2 linked regions of the Callithrix jacchus genome follow. Each later gene encodes a partner of the first gene's protein in a complex. Links are inferred from orthologs where the notes say so. Each region holds a gene or a part of one and is shown on either strand. Other genes may lie near its edges.

Evidence for each region. The genes of interacting proteins can lie anywhere in the genome.
Region 2: the proteins of IRGQ (region 1) and GABARAPL2 are in contact, whole or in part, in a crystal structure (PDB 8Q6Q), measured with the Homo sapiens proteins. The link is inferred for Callithrix jacchus from reciprocal best matches to the Homo sapiens genes IRGQ and GABARAPL2. Residues at the interface, in NP_001007562.1 of Homo sapiens: Asp7, Thr9, Leu11, Pro47, Leu49, Phe57, Pro70, Trp71, Glu74, Pro181, Ala182, Gln183, Asp184, Gly185, Phe186, Glu187, Val188, Leu189; in NP_009216.1 of Homo sapiens: Ser10, Glu12, His13, Cys15, Val16, Glu17, Ala19, Lys20, Ile21, Ala23, Lys24, Tyr25, Arg28, Pro30, Lys46, Lys48, Tyr49, Leu50, Val51, Pro52, Phe60, Ile63, Arg67, Phe104.

Annotation. Positions count from the first base shown.
Region 1 is NC_133523.1:38,085,700-38,095,999, forward strand, and holds the start of IRGQ (immunity-related GTPase family Q protein), read right to left. Parts: upstream 5,621-10,300; 5' UTR 5,538-5,620; intron 5,417-5,537; exon of another isoform or gene 5,247-5,416; intron 4,723-5,246; 5' UTR 4,721-4,722; coding exon 4,191-4,720; intron 2,446-4,190; coding exon 1,104-2,445; 3' UTR 1-1,103. Other genes in the region: ZNF576 (zinc finger protein 576), read left to right, coding at 6,438-6,522, 8,381-8,808. UniProt on the Homo sapiens protein: Autophagy receptor that specifically promotes clearance of misfolded MHC class I molecules by targeting them to the lysosome for degradation.
Region 2 is NC_133521.1:32,966,945-32,977,468, reverse strand, and holds the start of GABARAPL2 (gamma-aminobutyric acid receptor-associated protein-like 2), read right to left. Parts: upstream 5,022-10,524; 5' UTR 4,913-5,021; coding exon 4,879-4,912; intron 4,551-4,878; coding exon 4,495-4,550; intron 3,378-4,494; coding exon 3,205-3,377; intron 1-3,204. UniProt on the Homo sapiens protein: Ubiquitin-like modifier involved in intra-Golgi traffic. Modulates intra-Golgi transport through coupling between NSF activity and SNAREs activation. It first stimulates the ATPase activity of NSF which in turn stimulates the association with GOSR1.

The DNA of each region.
Region 1 (10,300 bases):
ACAGCTGCTCTTCCAAAAAGGAAGGTGCACAAAACACCAAGGTCAGAAAAGGTTATGGTTAAATGACAGGAGAAACCGAGGCCAAAAACAGATAGAAACCCCTAAAGAAAAGAGACACAGGAACAGACTCCCCAGAGATCACCTGAATTGCTCTGCACCTAGAAAGTGAAGGCAGTTACATCCCTTCCCAGTCACACTCACAGAGGCAGTTGCTGGGATCCCAACACAAGGTCTGCAGGAGCTCTATCTCTGAGGTTTGCTTTCCTGCCCTTTCACACCCAGAAGGCCTCATTCCTGGTCCCCAGCTACTCTCAGAGCCCACCCTGCCCAGATCTCTTACGTACCTCACCTCATTTTTGTGGGACCACTGTCTCTACAAACAGACTTTTGGAGGGCAATTAGTAGAAACCCATCTACTCCCCAGGAGTGATCAAGAGGTCTCCAGCTTTCTCCCACAAGCCCTCAATCCCTCCTCCAGATGCAGACCTCCCCAGACCCAAGAATTAGGAACCAAGGTCCCCAGCCATCTTGGAACCCAGGAGGCCAAGACCCCAGAGGCCTCCTCAACCCCATAAAGATTCAAAGCCCACTGCTCCTTGGGGACCTGTGTACAGGCTTTTTCTCCAAGAGAAATGTAGACCCTGTTTCCCTGAGGCTCTGAAGCCCATGAGTTTCAGTTCCCTGGGGTGCTCAGGTCTCCCACCCCTATACTGGAGCTCAAATCCCAGTCATGGACATCTCCCCACCAATTAGGAAACAGGACTTCTACCCTCCTCCACTGGAGGACTAAACATCCAATAACTCCAGTTTCTACTCCCTGGGAGACAAAGACATAGTCCCTTCCAGAGTCCTGGCCACCAACTCCCTTCAGTACTGAAGGGTCTGGATGTCATGCCCCATAGTTACCAAAGAAATCAGGATTCCTGTCCTCTAGACTCTCTGAATCCAGGTGATGAGAAATCACATATCCCAGCTAGATGTCAGAGTCCACCTCCCCTTCAAGCACCCAGAATTAAGCCCAGACAACCCCTGCCAGAATCTGGATTCCCAAGCCCCCTCCCCTTGAGGTGAAACTTGGGGGAGTCTAGCCCCCATCCCACCCCTCACTGTGCAGACTCAGGGGGTGCCAGCACGGCCTCAGCATCAGCCAGCATCTCATCGAGTGCCTGCAGCAGGACGCCATGAGCCGCTCGGTAGCCCAGGCCACCTGTCGCCGCTGCGCCACCAGCAGGCCACAGGAAGGAGAGCGCGCCCAGTGCTGCGCCCCCAGCAGTGCCCTCACCCGCCCACGCGCCCAGCCTTGCTTCCACCTCAGCGCGCGTCACTGGGCCTGGGAAACGAGCACGCGCTGCCAGCTCACCAGGAGCCAGGCCCAGAGCGCGCTCACGTCGAGCCAGCGCCGCGGGTTCCAGCCCTAGGCCCCGTCGCCATTCGGCCAGCTGACCCCGCAGAAGCGCTATGTCGCATGCCCAGCCCAGTCCTGGGAGTGGTGCTGCCGCAGCCGCCAGGCTAGCCAGCAGAGCTGGCCTCCACGCCCCGGCTCGTAGTGCCGCAGCCTTGGTTCGGGCAGCGCTGGGAGACGCTGGTGGCAGCGCCAGCAGCAGCGCCCCTGCCTGGGCTGGGGGGAGCACTCGCCGCATCCATTCGCACAGCCCTGGGAGTCCGCCAGGCCGTAGGGGAAACACTGGCGGCGGTGCCTCCTCCAGCACCTCCCACATCTCGTCCTCTGGGCTTAACGCGGCGGCCCGCTCTGAGTCCCCACCGCCCGATTTCTTCATGCCAACAACCTGCTGCAAACCCTCGCTGCCAGCTTTCCCAGAACCTTCCCTGCTGCCTGCTTTCTGCGATCCAGTGCTATATTTCTCCCTTCCCTTACTGAGTGCATTCTCCAGTCCCCCTCCGCCCGCATTCTTTAAGCTCTCTCCGCTGGGTTTCTCCATCTTGCCTTCTCCCACACACTCCGGATCCTCACCCTCGCCGTCTGTGCGCACGCAGACGAGAGGCGCATCTGGTAGCACCAAGGCCTGGACCTGGGCCCAGTCCTTCTCAGTGGGGGCCCCAGGGGTGACGAGGATGAGGGCGTCGTAGTGCGAAGAGTGGGAGGTGGCAGCGGGGGTGGTGGCAGTGCCCGCGGGATCCAGAGGCACAGTCCAGAGCACCACATTCGGGCGCTCTGGGGCCGGGAAGGGAGTGGGTCCCATGGGCACCGAAGCAGGCGCAGCACCTGGGTCGCCAGGATCCAATCCGAGCAGCATGTCCAGCACAAGGCCCACATCAGCCTTGCCGGCCACGGCCAGGTCTAGCCGTGCACTGCCCAGGCGCTCCAGGCCTGAGCGTACCCACGACAGCGCAGCCTCCAGGCCGCCGGTCTCAAAGGCCTCGCGCACAGCCTCCAGCTCTGCTGCACCTAGCACCTCGAAACCATCCTGGGCCGGTGGCAGGAGCCTGCGGAGACAAGAAAGGACAGGGTCAAGGGTAGAAGAGGGGCTGGGTGACAAGGACTGGGCTATGATGACAATGGCAGAGCTTTCCGAGTAATCTCAGAGTGGGGCAGCGGAGGGAAAGTGAGGGGCCTGACTGATTGCACAGCAAATAGAAACCAGATGGGGAGGGGCCATGATGATATGGGAGAGGCTTAAAGCAATAATGGAGTCTTGATGATTGGATGGGTGGGCTTAAGGTCAGATTTCCCACCCTAGCCTAAAATGGGGATTGGACTAAGACTTCTACCGAATACAGTATTTGGGGGCGGGGCTTTTCCAAGGGTCAGCTGTGCTGGGCGGGACAAAGCTCAAAGAGGGTGGGGCCTAGAACAAATAACCGCAAATGTGTCTGTCTCAGTACTATTTGAGACAGACAAAGTCCCCAAAGGCACTCTTTTCAGAGGTTGGGCCTAAGGAGGGTCAATGAAGGGAGAAATCTCATCTACTAGTTCGTACTAAGCAGGAGTGGCTAAGGTAGTCACCCAGGCAGGTGAGGCTAAGGAAAAAAGATGAGAGTACTGGAACAAGGAACTGCCTCTGTGAATCTCATTTTAAAGTCTGAAAATGATGAGGCTGGCAGGTGGGAGAGCCAATTCAGGAGGTACCTGGCAAGTGGGCACAGAAACAAGAGGGAGCTGGAGAAAGGAGGTGGATGAGGACGCCCCCAAATAATGCTCAGTGGCCAGGCGCCGTGGCTCACGCCTGTAATCCCAGCAGTTTGGGAGGCCAAGGTGGGCGGATTGTGAGGTCAGGAGTTTGAGACCAGGCTGGCCAACATAGTGAAACCCCGTCTCTACCAAAAATACCCCCAAAAAAGGAGAGAAAAAAAATAGCCGGGCATGGTGACGGGTGCCTGTAATCCCAGCTACGTGAGAGGCTGAAGCAGAATAGCTGGAACCCAGGAGGCAGAGGTTGTAATGAGCCGATATCGCACCTTTGCAGTCTAGCCCAGGAAACAGTGTAAGACGCCATCTCAAATAAATGAATAAAATAATATATTTAATAATAACACTCATTGCGAGTATGGCTTTAGGGCAACCGAGGTCGCTTGAAAACCAAGCTAATGGTGGAGACGGCTCAAGGATTATCATTTTCAGGTAAAATCTTCCAGGGGGCTGGGCACAGTGTCTCATGCCTGTCATTCCAGCACTTTGGGAGGTCAAGGCAGGCAGATCACCTTGGTTGGGCCAGGGACTGGAAAAATGAGCCTCAGGGCCCCAACAAATAAAGTGTTAAGCCCTTCCCTTCTAATCCTAGGGCTCTGGGAAGCCTGGGTGGGAGCGTGGCTTGAGGCCAGGAGTTCAAGACCAGCCTGGGGAAGCAGTGAGATCCTATTTTGTAGCCTGTAGTACTGGCTACTCTGGAGGCTGAGGCAGAAGGATCATTTGAGCCCAGGAGGTGGAGGCCCTCAGTGAGCTAGGATTGTGCCACTGCACTCCATCCTGTCTCAAAAAAAGACTGGGTATGGTGGCTCTCGACTGTAATCCTAGCACTTTGGGAGGCTGAGGCGGGAGTATTGTTTAAGGCCAAGAGTTCAAATTCAACCTAGCCAACATAGCGAGATCCTGTCTTTGACGGAAAAAAATATACAATAATAGAGTTAAGCTTTGCCTCAAAACCAGTGGGGGAGGGATCTCACGGACCTCAAAAAGGACCTAGGTGCGTAGGGTCCCAACTAAGGGACCCAGCCAGAAAGCCGGCACTCACCTCCTCAGCGCTTCTGCCTGGCTCTGCAGTGCCACCCGGAGGCGCTCTAGCTCCTCACAGCCGTCGCAGCTGCCACAGTTCGCCGGTAGCACAAACAGATCCGCGGCTCCTAACCCAGCGCTGTTCAGCAGAGCTGCAGTCTGATCACGGGCCTCGGTGGCATTCTGTGAATCCCCAGGACGGAGGTTCCGCACAGCCAGTAGCGGCGTCCCTCGGGCCAGGGCGGCCCGCGCTGCCTCTCCCAGGGCTGGGGCCAAGGGTTCGCCGTTGCCCTCAGGTCCCGGCAGCACCAGTACCAGCAAGTTGGCTTCCGCCGCCCAGGGCCCCGGCGCTGCGGGTGGACAGCTCAGCTCGCCCAGAAAAAGGCCCGGGCCCGCAGCTCTCAGGCTGGGGACCCCAGAGTCCGGCCGTCCCTCAGGGGCCTCGAGGGTCTCCACATCCTTGTCGCACAGCGCTGTGATCAGCGCAGACTTTCCCAAGCCCGGAGGCCCGAGGAATAAGGCGGTCACGTCACCCTGCGGCGGAGGCATGGCTGGAAAGCAACGGGTGGAGAAGACCCGGGTCAGTGAACACCTGGCCTTTGTCTTTCCTAGCCGCCCCACCCGGAACCCAGGACTCAATCCTCCACTCTGTCCCCTTCGATTCTTGAGCGTCATTCTCCGGGACCTAAAAAGCCAGAGCCCAGACGCTATTCCCCCGGGATCCCAGGCATCCTGTCTGCCCACCCTCTTTCTAGATGGAAACGTTTCCCCTTCTGCTTCAAAAACTCAAAAATCAGGGGCGGTGGCTCATGCCTGTAATCCCAGCGCTTTGGGAGGCCGAGGCGGGAGGATCGCTTGAGGCCAGGAATTCGAGACCAGCCTGGGTAACATGTGGGACTCGCTGGTAGAGTCCCTGTCCCTATAAAAAAATAAAATTTAGCCGGGAGTGGTGGCGCACGCCTGTAGCCCCAGCTACTCGGAAGGCTGCGGTGGGAGGGTCGCTTCAGCTCAGGATTTGGAGGCTGCAGTGGGCCATGAAGGCCCTCTCTCAAAAATAAATAAATAAAAATAAAACCTCAGAAATTTGGCTTCCAGTCCCTCCTCCCTCGGACACACTGTTGTTTTTATCCTCCCCCTCTCCGCCTTCCAAATCACCAACCGAGCAGAGCCGACCCACGGGAGCGTGCAGTCGGTGGCAGTGGGTCAGTCGCGGAGAAGCTCGACACTAAGCCGCGGTGGACGGAGGCCGAAGAGGCCAGAACGCCGTGATTTAGAGATGCCGGGACGCGTCCCGTTGGCTTTAACCTGACGTCACTCACTCAACCAAGGGGGTGTGTCTTGGAAGCGAGACTGCAGAGAACCAGACCTTCGCAGCGCCTGCGCAGAACGGCCAAAGTGCGCACGCCCCTCTTCCGCGGCCTCAGAACCTAGAACAATGAGGGAGTCAACGCGCCTGCGCGCCACGAGCGCCTACTCATTCAGACGCAAAAAGCTTAGGTATCTACGGCACAGGGGGCTAAACGTCATCATAACGCGCCCTAGTGCAGAAAAGGACCTCTCCCGTTATTTTCAGCACCGGGCTGGTGCGACTGTACTATTGCCGGATGGCAAATCCGGGCTCTCGGCTCCGAGAGACTCATGTGGCGAAAGGGCGCAAACCACGGGGGACCCTGAGACTGAGTGGGCCCTATTCCACTTCTCTCTGGGTGGCGGCGCTGTGGCGAGAGACTGACAGGCGCAGCGAAAGGCAGCCCTCTGCTGTACGAAGGAAAACAGAGGCCTGGGAGCAGGAACCTGTAGGCAGCGCTTGCGGGTAGCGGGATAGTGGCTGCAAGCGCGGCGCGGGCTCTGGGCGGAACAAAAATCACAGGATGTCAGAGGATGTTTCCCGGGAAGAACTGGGATAAAGGGTGGGTATCACTACTTGCCCCAAGACACTCGAGACTGGGATGACGCTGGTGTCAAAGATAAAGGCTCCCAGGCTGAGTTCAGTGAGTTTGATGCAGCAGGTCATAGGTCACACCAGTGAGAAGACTCTAGGGGAGTCCCAAACCCGGGAAGTCCAGTCTTTTGGGAGATTTGAAGCTTCTCTTAAAAAGAACTCCACCAATTAGAGTTCAAGGAGAGTATGTCGTGGGGGTCAAAGGCAGGCAAGGAGAGCCTCTGGCGATGTCAAAGGTCATAGACTTAGGGTGCCCTCTGCTGGTAACAGATGAACAGCTTCACTTATGCACGCTCCTCTCTTGACTAGAAGGGTCCCAGCACCATGGAGGACCCGAACCCTGAAGAGAACATGGAGCAGCAGGATTCACCCAAGGACATAAGTCCCCAGAGCCCAGGAGGCAACATCTGTGAGTACACATGGCTGGCTGGCTAGAGGAGGGTGGGATGCAGGAGTGACGCTAAGATCTCTGTGGCACTTTAGTGTCCAAGGCGCCACAGAGTTTTGTCTGTCGAGAAGGTGCTGTAATGGCCCATAAGCTGCTCCAGAAGGAAGTGCCTCTCCTCACACCTGCTTTTGTGGCCAGAGTACTCACCCTCCTCTGGCCGCATAAGCAAGATTGCGATGCTTATGCATTCAGAGGGATAAGGTGGCTTCCAGGAGAGGCTTGGGTTGGAGATGTGGCTAAGAATAGTTTTACTGGGAGAGAAGCCCCAAGATCCTAGTGCTGACTCTGCCCTAGACTTTCAGTGTAACTTGGGCCTTGGTCTCCCAGTCTGTCAAAAGAGGCTGGCACTACCCACCTTACAGGGTGGTTATGGGATTAACTGCAGCAAAGGGGACAGCTGGGTGTTAATGATGGTAGCCAGTTTGATATGTAATAGCAGTATCTCCTGCTCAATGTTTTATTATGTGCTGCGTGTATTTATTCTTAATGAATGATTTTAACATTCATTATCTCATTCAGTCCTTCGAATAATAGGCCCTTTAAACTGGGAACTGAGGCAGAGAAAGGTATTTCTAACAAGAGCTGTAGTCTCAATGCCCTTGAGCCAGAGACTACCAGGAACACACCCGCAGTTGAACACATTGGGTTTATGGCTCAGTGCAATGAAGAACACACACCATGGAGAACTGTGGAGTGACTCACTAAGTGTTAAAAACGACATAGGATTTGGGCTTGTGGGGGGTGGTTTTGGAAAAGGTTCCAGCAAAAGTGTTGGGTGGCTCTGGATTGGATGCCACCAGGAAGCAGGGGCAATTCTGTGATTGGCTATTTTAATAAATCTTATGCAGAAGGGGGAAGGAAGAAGGTGAGGCTCAAGTTCTGACTGATAAAGCAGCAGCGGACATTCACATTAGCCAGGATGGGAGGAAGGTTGGTCATTTGTCTGCTTGGACAGCATTCATATTTTGTCTGTGTTCAGACATTATGATGATGTAGTCTTGTCTTGATTCATTCTTGTCACAGCATGGCCTTGGCTGTCCTTGATGTTGTGAGAAATTATTTATGTTCAACAGAACACCAAGGTCTAGCTGTGAGTTCCAGAGCTGATCCTGGGTGTCGAGCTACATTGTCTGTATCATTAGTCACCATTGCAAAGGACTACATAGCAATTCAGTTATTCCTTCCAGTGGTCCTATGGAATAGATGCTGTTATTAGTGCATTTTCCAGATAAAGAAACTGGTGTGATTGTGTCTAGGAAGTGGGGGAGCGGTCTGGCTCCAAACATTAGGCTGTAATCACCGTACCCCTCTATTGGGCTGGCTGACTCTGGGCTCCACCATTTCTTTTCCTAGCCTCATGACTATGGGCAACTTGCCTAACCTCTTTTTTTTTGGGAGATGGAGTCTCACTCTGTCACTCAAGCTGGAGTGCAGTGGCATGATATCGGCTGACTGCAACATCTGCCTCCCAAGTTCAAGGAATTCTCCTGCCTCAGCCTCCTGAGTAGCTGGGACTACAGGTGAATACCGCCATGCCCAGCTAATTTTTTGTATTTTAGTAGAGACGGGGTTTTACTGTGTTGCTGAGGCTGGTCTTGAACTCCTGAACTCACCCACCTCAGCCTCCTAATCTCTTTGAATCTCAGTTTGTTCATCCATAAAATGAGTCCAAGAACAGTTCTCCTGTGTGGTCGTCCAGCATTAGCACAGAACCTAGCACACAGCACACTCAATGTTAATTGCTGGTGTGATTCTGGGGCTCAGGAGAGGTCCTGGAGACTCCCACTGGCCTCCCCTGACCTCTTCCCACATCCCTCAGGCCACCTGGGGGCCCCGAAGTGCACCCGCTGCCTCATCACCTTCGCAGATTCCAAGTTCCAGGAGCGTCACATGAAGCGGGAACACCCAGCGGATTTCGTGGCCCAGAAGCTGCAGGGGGTCCTCTTCATCTGTTTCACCTGCGCCCGCTCCTTCCCCTCTTCCAAAGCCCTGATCACCCACCAGCGCAGCCATGGTCCAGCCGTCAAGCCCACCCAACCGGTTGCAACCACTACTGCGCAACCCATCTTCCCTTGTCCTGACTGTGGCAAGACCTTTGGGCAGGCTGCTTCTCTGAGGCGGCACCGCCAGATGCATGAGGCCCGAGCCCCTCCTGGCACCTTCGCCTGCACAGAGTGTGGTCAGGACTTTGCTCAGGAAGCAGGGCTGCATCAACACTATATTCGGCATGCCCGGGGGGAGCTCTGAGTGCAGCTTAAGCCTCTCCATGGTGACAGGTGACGTTGTGCCCCATGAGACCCACCCATGATATGGGGTGCAGGAACTCTGGGGGCCCTGAGGGATTTGCTTCCCTCCCCTGGGAGGGCAGATAGCTCTTAATAGAGAGGACCCAGAAGATTCTCATTTAGAGCTTCAGTCTTTGGAGGACACAGGGCCTTCAGGAGATGGTGAAATCAGACAATAATGAGATCTTTTGTTTATAAAAAAATGGGAAGAGAGTATGGGAGAGAAATGATTTGTGTCTCCATAATTCCCAGTTATACACTTAGCTGTGGATTGTGCCATCACCCTTCATTCTTCCCAGATGGATACCATGGGCTATGGGAGCAAACTGCCCTGGACCTTTGCCTGAATGAGGGCAGGGAAGGTAAGGTGTTGCTGGCCTGTAGTGCCACCGGATGAGTTCCAGATATGGGGCAACTTGGGCCTTTGGGGAGGGGGCAGCAAAGTTGGGAGCTGGATCCCAATTGAGTGGGGTGGAAATTCAAGTCCTTGAATCTCTTCACACCCCCCCCTGCCACCCTCCTCATTCAGAGGGGCCATGTCACTGGATGGCACTAGTCCCCTGATAATTGTTTAAATAATTTTGGGTATCATTCTAGTCATGAAATATTTTTTCATATTTGTAGGTGACATGGTATGAATAAGCTAACGGGAATAGTATCTAAAAACAAAACATCCATATTAAAATGTCTAAACCGGGAGTTCTGGCTTTTGAGTGGGAATTTCCAGAGAACATAAGGGTGTGGGCAGGTGGGAGAACTCAGGGCAGAGTTGGCCTCGCCTTGTGGGGAAACTGATTTGGAATCAAACAGAGATGCCTTCTGTTTCAGGTTTTATTTGGCCAACACTGGGAGATTTCTCATTAAGATCCTATTTTCAGCTCTCTTGAAAGGCCCAACCCAGGGGCAGGGCAGAAGCTACAACAGGCTGGAGCAAGCAGTGGGTGTCACCCTCAACTGGAGATGAATCCCACCAGGCCAGTATTACTCCCTTAGTTACCTGCCCTGCACCTGCAGACAATGATCAATGCCCTGAATATAACACTCGTAGACTCTGTTTATGTGGAGGGATGTTTGCTTTTTTTTTGAGACGGAGTTTCGCTCTTGTTACCCAGGCTAGAGTGCAATGGCGTGATCTCGGCTCACCACAACCTCCGCCTTCTGGGTTCAGGCAATTCTCCTGCCTCAGCCTCCTGAGTAGCTGGGATTACAGGCACGCACCACCATGCCCAGCTAATTTTTTGTATTTTTAGTAGAGACGGGGGTTTCACCACGTTGACCAGGATGGTCTGGATCTCTTGACCTCGTGATCCCAAATCCTAGCACTTGGCCTCCCAAAGTGCTAGGATTACAGGCGTAAGCCACCACGCCCGGCCCGTGGAGGGATGTTTTTAAAGCCCACAGGTGAGGTGGATGTGGTAGACTGATCACTATCAGTTTTTAGCTAGGCACATGGT
Region 2 (10,524 bases), on another chromosome or scaffold:
CAGGAGTTTGAGACCACCCTGGTGAGGTGGGAGGATTGCTCAAGCCCAGGAGTTCAATGTTGCAGTGACCTCTGACTGCACCACTGCACTCCAGCCAGGGTGACAGAGCAAGGCCTTGTCTCAACAACAACAAAAAACCAGTATCTTAGAGATCTTTTATTTAATGATATACTCCTGTTTCTATTTTAAACAGAGGATTAAGACGACTCTTATCTAGGTTCTCAACCAACAAAGACCATACAATGCCAGGTCCGAGTTCCTCTCTAAGGCCATGACTAGGAAACTTGTACACTGACGTTGTTTCTAAAGTTCTGTCTGCACAAAGTTCCCCTTCCTGTTTTGGCCTGATTCTTGATGCAGGCACCTGCGCAGACAATTCAACTTTCCAGTGCTAAATGGGAAAAGGCCACTGTGATTCCTCCTTTTTTAAAAGAAACAAGAACTTAGAATTTAGGAAGTAAAACTTAGGGACTTACCTATGTCTCTATTTAAATAATTAATATTTAATAGTAACAACTCTCAATAAAAATCATGACACTTGGGTCGGGTGCGGTGGCTCAACCCTCTAATCCCAGCACTCTGGGAGGCCAATGCAGGCGGATAACCTGAGGTCGGGAGTTCAAGACCAGCCTGACCAACATGCTGAAACCCCGTCTTTAAATTAAAAAAAAAAAATTTTTTGTAAATTTTTTTTTTTTAAAAAAAGAAAAAAAAAATCATGACACTTTACATAGTGACTGCCTGTTTTCTACTGAAAGGCAGAAATAAATGAGAAGTTACTCCCCTTCATCCTCAGCCATAATTGATCTTCATGCATACCAGTCAGTCACCAGAGAGGGAGGGCTTGTGCAGGCTTGAATTCGTCCTTTCTCTAATTTCCCCAGCCACCCTTTGAAACCAGCAAGCACTGCATGAAGGTTAAGGGAGGCTCCATGTTTCTCTAAAGAGGCTGGAAAGACCTGAGGAAGAGGCAGCTAAACTGTCTTGGGGAAGAGATGGTGAAGGGGAGTTACAGCCAGCTTTAGGAAGGATCCTGTGGTATTTTCGTTTATGCTGCTTTGGAGTATTAATTTGCATAAAGCCCAATGATGTCACATGGCCTCCTTTGTTTAGACACAAATTTGTATTTTTAGCTGGGTGTGGTGGCACACACCTGTGGTCCCAGCTATTAGGGAGGCTGAGGTGGGAGGATCACTTGAACCTAGGAAGCACAGGTTGCAGTGAGCTGAGATTGCACCATTGCACTCCAACCTGGGCAACAGTGAGACTCCGTCTCAGAAAAACAGAATGGTTTTTGAGAATAAAACCCCAGAATGAACAGTTGCATTAAGTGTAAGGAGACAAGTCATTAACTGGGGCCAAAGGAGCTGATGGGCTGGGCAAAAGGGCCCTGGCTGGGGACTCTAAATCCTGAAGGGTGAGGATTTGGATTTCTGGTTACTCCGACCTAAAATCCTAACTACAGTTACTAGTGTAATCTGCTTTAAGGTTCTCGCCACACTGGAAAGGCAAATGGGACTTGGAGAGAAAATGGCCTTGAAAAAAAAAGGAGAAAAAAAAGAAAATGGCCTTGAAACAGTCTCTGCTGCCCTGAAAAATCATTTTTAATTTCCAATTCTATTTATATCTCAGGGAAAATGGGGGAGGGGACAGTTGATAAGACTGTAGTCATTTTAATTGCTAGATTACTGTGGAGCCATCAGAGTAATCATAAGGTCTCCAGAAGCCTGCTTCATTTCCTTTGAGAAGAACCAGAGAATCAGAATTGAGGAAAATAAACTTAATGCCATAGGTCCTAGTCACTTACTTCCACTAAGCGACCACCTCTGGGAAGGAGAAAACACAGGGTCACCAAGGCTCTGCAGAAATTGCAGATGGTATAAAAGATTACTTCCCCAGTCACCTTAAGGAAAGCCCAGGGTAACTATGAATGCCCAAGGCTTCCTCCTCTCGTGAAGATAGCCCTGAGGCCTGGGAAGGAAGGTTGGAAGAGCCCCATGGATGACAAAATCACCTCAAGCAACACCACAGCTTCCAGAGCTACAGCTGCAGCAGACCAATGGTGTCCAGTGGGCAGGCCCTGGGCTATCTCCTCAGGTTGGACACTGGCCTTAGGGAAGGAGCTTCCATTTCTCCCCTGCCTTTCTACCAGACACCAGGAAGTGGAGGTGGTAGAGACTGGGAAACAGGTAATCAGACCAAAAAATAGCCAGAGCTTTCCACCTTTAACAGAAATAAAGTCTGGAATTTGGCACGGGCCTCTTAGGAAGTCTTCAAGGATTTTCAACAGGAACCTATCTGGGCAACATTGGGCTAGTTCCCAGGGCTTCTGAAAGCCTTCACTTTTAGAAGTATTACTTCTGGGGGTGGTAAATGAAACCTACTTTGGGTCACTAAGGTAAGATGTGGCCAGGAACTCACACTCAGGGGAGAGGTGAGGGCCAGAATCTGGATCAGAGCCTAGAACTACCCACTCAGTAACAGGAAAGGACTGACCAGGAGCTTAGACGGAGCCTGTCCATTTTCCTCATTCCAGAGGGGACTAAAGCTGGGCTGTCAAATACACAGAAAATGGAAATTCTAATGCCCCTGCCTACATTCGGGCTGCAAGTTACACTCCCAAAGACTGCTTCCAGGCAGCACCATAGTCTGACAGTCAAAGCAGGTGCTACCAAGGAAGGTTTAAGTCTGTAAAGAGACTTCAGAGCCCTTTACTGTGCTGCAGTCATTTTGTCAGACTTGAGGATCAGACAGCTATAGACTCTTACAATGGCAGAGAGCTGACGAAGTTTGGGAGCACGCAAACCGCTTGATTAACTGAGTAAGCCTCAGCAGAACCCACAGGTTCCCAGTGGAGGAGAGTGGCCAGACTGTCTTCAGGGAAGAAAACCTCATTTCAGGCATCAGTTCTACCTATGGCTTAAGCCTAAATAAGTCCTCAATGTTTTAAAAGATTCTTGGAGGTCTCAGGCTGAGTTTCATCCCTTTTTTAGAAGTCCAGGCCTTGTTCTATTTTCCGAATCTAAAATGCACCCTTATGTATTGCAGCCGTTATTTTCCTGGAGCCCCTGATGTCAGGGAGCACAAAATCCAGATTTCTAGTCAGAACCCCCAAGAGTTTTCAGACCTCCAAAGTTTTTGAGTTCTCTAAGCAGCCAACCAGATGTCTAACACCAGAGGACCCATCTAGTAAACACCTCTCACCTGGACTGTGGGACTGTCTTATCCACAAACAGGAAGATCGCCTTTTCAGAAGGAAGCTGGATCCTTTTCCTGATGATCCACATGAACTGAGCCACAGTGATATCAGATGGAACCAAGTACTTCCGTTTGTCAATGTCAACAATCTGAGAGCCTGAGACCTTTTCCACAATCACCTGGGAAAATAAAGAGAGGTCAGGACTGGGTTTCTAAAGCCAGGCTCTGGCCTCAAGGCTGAGGAGCTGAGGAACAGAGTGTGGGCAAGGAGGTGGGTGGGAAACTGCATAGCAGGAGAAAATATGTCTTTGGCTTAATAACCACATGCTCTGGAGGTTAAGAATTGATATAAATGGGTTATAGGGAAACGGTAAGTGCTTTTCTGTGGTCAGTTATGTAAGAAAAATGCAGCCCTTACTACTAAGCTTTTCCACATTTTATCTGGGCAGACCTAAGAATATGTGGGGATCCACATCCATAGCCCATTACTCCAGGACCCCAGAATGGATCCCCTTCACACTACAGGAAACACTACTGTGTTCCCAAGGAACACAGGAGACAAGAACAGATGGACTAATGGGAATGCCTGGAATTTCAGCCAGCCAAGAACCAAGCTCTTCATTTGGCCTGTTGCTCTTCTCTGAACAAGTTTCAAATCCGTCCCTCCTTCCCCCAACGGAATTATTCACAAGCAAAGAGCTACAATAACAGGCCTTAATGTCCATTAAAAATTAACAAGAATTACAAAACTATCTCCCCAAACATGGAAAAAATATATTTACTACTGACTAGGAAGAAAGCATAACAGAAAAGGGTTTTCAGCGGCTTCTCACATTGTTTTGGTCAGGCAGGGATGACAGGGTCAAGGTGAGGCAACGGAGCCAGAATTTGGGTAAAGATGGAGGCTCCAAGTAAAAGGTGAAGGTCCTGAGACTCAAGTACCACTTCCAAGACCAAAGTGACAGTCTCCCTCCACCACCGTTCCCAAAAGTGGCAGTGACCTGTTGCCCTGTCCTAGAACATCGTTCCTTACATAATTGGCCAGGGAGCCCCGAGGCTGCAGACAGCTCTCGCTGGCCTAGATCCGGAGATTCAGCACTGAGGCACCCTGAACAGCACCAGCCCGAGCCCCTCACGCCCCGGCCCTGGGCGGCCTCATCGCAGTCTGGCCCGTCCTCTACTACAACTGGGAATGGAACCTCAACTTGTCAACTGTTGAATGGCCTAGGGCCTATCACGGCTCCCAGATGACAGAGGTGACAGCGAGGTGAGGGGGCGGAGAGTCCAATCACTCACCGGAACCCGGTCAGGATATTTCGCTCGGATCTTCGCGGACTCCACGCATCTGTGTTCTGTGGCAGAAACAAACAGGGCTGACGGCCGCGCCTGCCCACAGGTCGGTTCCGGGCCCTCGGCCCTCCTCCTCCTGCGCCTTGCGCACAGCCCAGGCCCTCGTTCCGGCGTCCCCACGGCCGCGGTCCTGTCCCCTAGCTCCCAGGGGGGTCCGCGGAGAGTGACGCGGGGTCGAGGGACGGCTGCTCGTGGCACCGGAGCCTTGGCGGCTCGAGCCCGGAGCGCGGCATACGTCCTGCTTCACCCGGCCCAGGGCCGCCCGAGTGGGGGAGGGGGCCCACCTGCCGCCGCGGCCCCCCGCGGCCGGTCCGATGGCCAAGTGCTTACCCAAAGAGTGGTCCTCCTTGAACATCCACTTCATGGCGGCGGCGGGGAGGGGATGGAACCGGCTCTCGGAGCCGTGGAACTCGGCGTACCGACCACAACAACAACGGCGGCGGCGGTAGCAGCGACGGAGGCGACTACACGGCAGGCGGGACTTCCGGCTGCTGGAGCCTAGCAACCGGTCAGGGGCGGGGCTTCCGGCGCCACTGGCCAGGAAGCTATGCCAAGGGGCGGGGCCGCACGTAGTCACGGAGGGCTCCTTCTGGGGGCTACTAGGCTGCGGAGGCGGTGAAGTTGGTTACGGGGGCGTCTGTGAGCAATATCGGCGACCCCAGGAAGAAATGTTCGGGGAACTGGTGACAGGAGTGGGGTCTCGGGAGTGTTTGTGGCGGGAAGCGTCTGGCTGATAGTGTATGGCTCTGAGGGCTCTTTGGGGGTGTGGCTGATAGTTGAGGGCTCTTAGAGCGTTTATAGGGGAGGTCTGAATAGGGAATTGGTGACAAGAACGGTCTTTGGGAGTAAGAATGACTTAAGGGGAGTCTCTAGTGCTTGGCGATGACAAGGGAGCTGTTTTGGGCGTTGACAGTTTGGGGGTTATTGCTCGGAGTGGTGACAGGGTGGGGGCACAGTATGGGAGGGGTGGTGTTTGAGGACACTGTGTAGGAAGCAGCACTGAGGACAACCTGGACGTCCAGTATTAGGGACAGCGGTAATAGGTTGCCTTGGACCTAGAAATTGAATTTAAACAAATCCCATTTTCTTCCCTTATTCGTGAATCTATTTGAATAAACATTTACGAAATGCACATTCGAGGTAGGACGTGGTGGCTCCCGCCAGTAATCCCAACACTTTGGGAAGCCGAGGCAGGAGGATCCCCTGAGGTCAGGAGTTCGAGACCAGACTGGCCAACAGGGTAAAACCCCATTTCTACTAAAAATACAAAAATTAGCCAGGCATGGTGGCACACACCTGTAGTCCCACCTCCTTGGGAGGCTGTGGCTGGAGAATCGTTTGAACCCGGGAAGCGGAGGTTGCAGTGAGCCAAGATGGCCTGGGTGGGAACAAGACTCTGTCTCAAAAACAAACAGACAAACAAATGCACATTTGAAGAGTATAACATAACTGATCACAGACCCTTTAACCTTAACTGGCAGAGGAGTTAGAGGTGACAGTCAGGCTTGGAGAATTCCCCTGAGAGCTGGTCATGAGATGGGTTTCCTTGTTTGGCTGTGGGAGTGGTTTAGCAGTCACAGCCCAAGCTGTGTGTGTCACCTGCCCAGACATATGCCTTGAGGTTCTCCAGCCAGTGATGTAATGCCTTTCTTCCAAGCAGAGTCATCAAGGCAGTCTGGTCTAGGTCACCATCTGTTTATAAGCTGCTGAGCACGTAGCAAGAATATTCACTTAATTTGGGCACATGAACCCTGCCACATGCTTGTGATTCTGATGCACCTGTAAAGCCTGTATGTTTGAACATGCTAGTTCATCATTTCCTACACTGGAAATTCCCAATTGATGCTGTGGAATCTAGCTTCATTCTAAAAGTATTTTTGTTATTTTAAGACTGTGTGTCTGACCAATCAGAATAGGTTTTATGTTTGTTTGTTCCTTTGTCTTCGTTTTTGTTTTTTGAGGCAGGCCCTCGATTTGTTGCCCAGACTGGAGTGCAGTGGTGTCATCTCGACTCACTGCAACTCTGCCTCCCGGGTTCAAGCGATTCTCTCCTGCCTTAGCCTCCTGAGTAGCTGGGACTACAGGCATGCACGACCCCTCCCAGCTAGTTTTTGTATTTTTGGTAGAGATGGGGTTTTGCCAGGTTGGTCTCCAACTTTGTACCTTAAGTGATTTGCCTGCCTCGACCTCCCAAAGTCCCAGAGTACTGGGCGTGAGCCACTGCACCTGTTTGTTTGGTTTTTGTTCGGTTGGTTGGTTAGGTGGGTTTTGGGGTTTTTTGTTTGTTGGTTGGTTTTGTTTTTGTCTTTTTTGAGACGGAGTCTCCCTCTGTCACCCAGGCTAGAGTGCAGTGGCTTGATCTCAGCTCACTGCAACCTCTGCCTCCTGGGTTCAAACTATTCTCCTGCCTCAGCCTCCTGAGTAGCTGGGATTACAGGTATGTACCACCACACCCAACTAATGATTGTATTTTTGTTTTGTTTTTGAGACAGAGTTTCGCTCTTGTTGCCCAGGCTGGAGTGCAGTGGCGCTGTCTCGGCTCACCACAACCTCCACCTCCTAGGTTTAAGCAATTCTCCTGCCTCAGCCTCCCGAGTAGCTGGGATTACAGGCATGCGCCACCATGCCTGGCTATCTTTTATTTTTAGTAGAGATGGGGTTTCTCTATGTTGGTCAGGCTGGTCTGGACCTCCCAACCTCAGGTGATCCGCCTGCCCCGGCCTCCCAAAGTGCTGGGATTACAGGCGTGAGGCACGGCACCCAGCCTGTTTGTTTGTTTTTAATGAAGTGAAAAAGCCTTTGAATTTCCTACTTAGAAATTACTGTTGTTACATGTAAGAGCTTTGTGCTAGGTGCTGGGGAAAAAACTGAAGACAGATGACACCCCTGTTCTCATGGGTGGGAGCATGACATATTCTTGTCTCCCTGACATATTCTAGTGGGACAAGACAAAAAATAAATATGTCAGGTACTGACAGATGCTGTTTAGAAAAATTAGGCAGGGCAGGTGACTAGAGAGTGTGTTGGAATGGAATGCTAATTAGATAAAGTGGCTGACATATTCTAGGGAAGCCCTGTGGCTGGAGCTAAGTAAGAGAGGAGAGCTGTGTTACGAGACAAATTCAAAGAGATCTAGAACAAAACTGTGTAGAGCTTTAAATTCCATGCAGAGAACTTTGGATGTTATTTAGAATAAGATAAGAAGTCAGTGTACGTTTTTTTTTTGTTTGGTTTGGTTTCATTTGGTTTGGTTTTATTTGAGATGGAATCTTGCTCTGTTGCCAGGCTGGAGTGCAATCTTGGCTCACTGCAACCTCTGCCTCCCGGGTTCAAGTGATTCTCCTGCCTCAGCCTCCTGAGTAGCTGGGACTACAGGTACACACCTCCATGGCCCGCTAATTTTTGTATTTTTAGTAGAGACAGGGTTTCACCATCTTGGCCAGGATGCTGTCAATCTCTTGACCTCGTGATTGGCCTGCCCCAACCTCCCCAAGTGCTGGGATTATAGGCATGAGCCACTGTGCTCTGCCCAGTATAGGGTTTTAATCAGAGATGTAGCACAGACTGACTTTCCTTTTCAAAAGGCTAGCTTAGTATATTGTAGGGGCTGAGGGTAGAAGCAGGGAAATAGTTGAGAGGCTATTCATCATCCTGGTGAAAGATGATGTTGGCTTAGGCCAAGCTGGGGTTGACAGAAGCAGTTGTATTCTGGATATATTTTGAAGGTAGAACTGGTAACATTTGCTGATAGATTGGATGTAAGATAATGAGGGACAGATCAAAATCAAGATTTCTGGAAGGATGGAAATACCATTTACTGAAATAGGGGGGAACCAGCTTGGGGAGTGTAAAACAAGAGTTTGGTTTTAGAGATATTAAATATGAAATGTCCAAGAGACATATCCAGGTGAAAATGTAGAGTTGGTAGATAGTGCTATGTGTCTCAAATTTAGAGAGAAATATTTAAAGCTATTGATATGGGTAAAAGTAGGTGGACAGGGAGTTTATAAATGAAAATACCTATCTACAAATAGAATTAAACACTGAAGAATGAAGATGGTGGTTCATCATCTCAGTGAGCCAGTGGAGGAGTTAGAAATTGGACTCAACACCGCTGCTTCCCTTTACAGAGCTGGTCACTGTGTCCTAGTCCTAGATATATGAATATTGCCTTGCATGTTACAGAGCTGAGAACAGTTCTCAGGGGAAAGTTTCACTGCTCACCAATTCACAGTCATGTCTCCTAATGGTCTCAATGTTGTGCAAAGCATTTTGGTCTTCCATCCTTACCCACTTTCTTGGTGTCTTTTCCCAGTTCACCCTTCTAATTGGCATATCTCATCCGCCTTGATGTTACATACTACCTTCTTTACATGGTGGGTCATTGTATTTAGCTATGGAGTGTTCTAAGGACAATGGATGCCTTCCTTGAGCGGGTGGTTAGTTGAGGTAAGTCAGCAGGAGAAATAGGATAATGAATCTATGCAATGTCATTACACATTAACAGATCTCTAAAACACACAGAGTGAATTTCGAATGTTGGAGAGGTATGTGAACATGGATACTGAGGCATTGCTAGGGCAATGGGGGTCAGCACAAAGCCAAGTGAGAATTAGCAAGAAAGACTTCATGGAGAATGTGTCTTCTGATATAGAGAGAAGGGTATACATTTTTCAATGGGTAAACTTTTCCTTTCCAGATAAAAACAAAGTATGGGTTTGGAAGAGGAAACAGGAAAGCAGTATAGATAAGTAAATACAATGTTGGAAAGCTTTGAGGCAAACATTCAGAAGTTCTAACCTAATTCTAGAGACCATGAATAGGAGCTTCTATAAAGGAGAAAGGAACATGATTAAAATGTGCAGTGTGGGAACAGGTGCAGTGGTTCATTCCTGTAACCCCAGCACTGTGGGGGTCAAGGCAGAAGGATACTTAAGCCCAGGAGTTGGAGACCAACCTGGGCAACTTGGCAAGACCTTGTCTCTTAAAAAAAAAAATTTTTTTTTTAGATGGAGTCACCTAGGCTGGAGTGCAGTGGCATTATCTTGGCTTACTGCAACCTCCACCACCCAGGTTCAAGCAATTCTCCTGCCTCAGCCAAAAAAAAAAAAAATTTTTCGAGACGGAGTCTCACTCTGTTACCGAGGGTGGAGGTGCAGTGGCATGATCTTGGCTTACTGCAACCTCTGCCACCTGGGTTGAAGTGATTCTTCTGCCTCAGCCTCCCAAGTAGCTGGGACTACAGGTGCCTGCCACCATGCCTGGCCAATTTTTGGAGATTTTTTTTTTAGTACAGACGGGATTTCACCATCTTGGTTGGCCAGGCTGGTCTTGAGCTCCTGACCCTCGTGATCCACCCACTTTGGCCTCCCGAAGTGCTGGGATTACAGGCATGAGCCACAGCTATAGCACCCGGCCCCCCAAAATTTGTTTGATTAGCCGGGCACAGCTGGGCACAGTGGCTCACGCCTGTAATCCCAGCACTTTGGGGAGCCAAGGCAGGCTGATCATGAGGTCAGGAGATCATGACCATCCTGGCTAACACGTGAAACCTCGTCTCTACTAAAAATACAAAAATTAGCCAGGCGTGGTAGCACGCACCTATAGTCCCAGCTACTTGGAAGGCTGAAGCAGGAGAATTGCTTGAACCCGGGAGGTGGAGGTTGCAGTGAGCTGAAATCGCACCATTGCACTCCAGCCTGGGCGACGAGTGAAACACCATCTAAAAAAAAAGATTAGCCAGGTATAGTGGCACACACCTGTAGCTCCAGCTATTCAGGAGTACTTGAGGTGGGAGGAGTACTTGAGCCCAGGAGGTAGACAAAGAGAGAGCTTGTCTCAAAAAAAACAAAATAATAATTTAAAAAAAAAAAAAAAAAACCTACCTTGCCATCCCAGAACAGCTTTTAATCAAGAACAAGTAGTATGGAACCCACTATTTCAAAAGCATTTTATGGCTGATGACATTCTCACCTT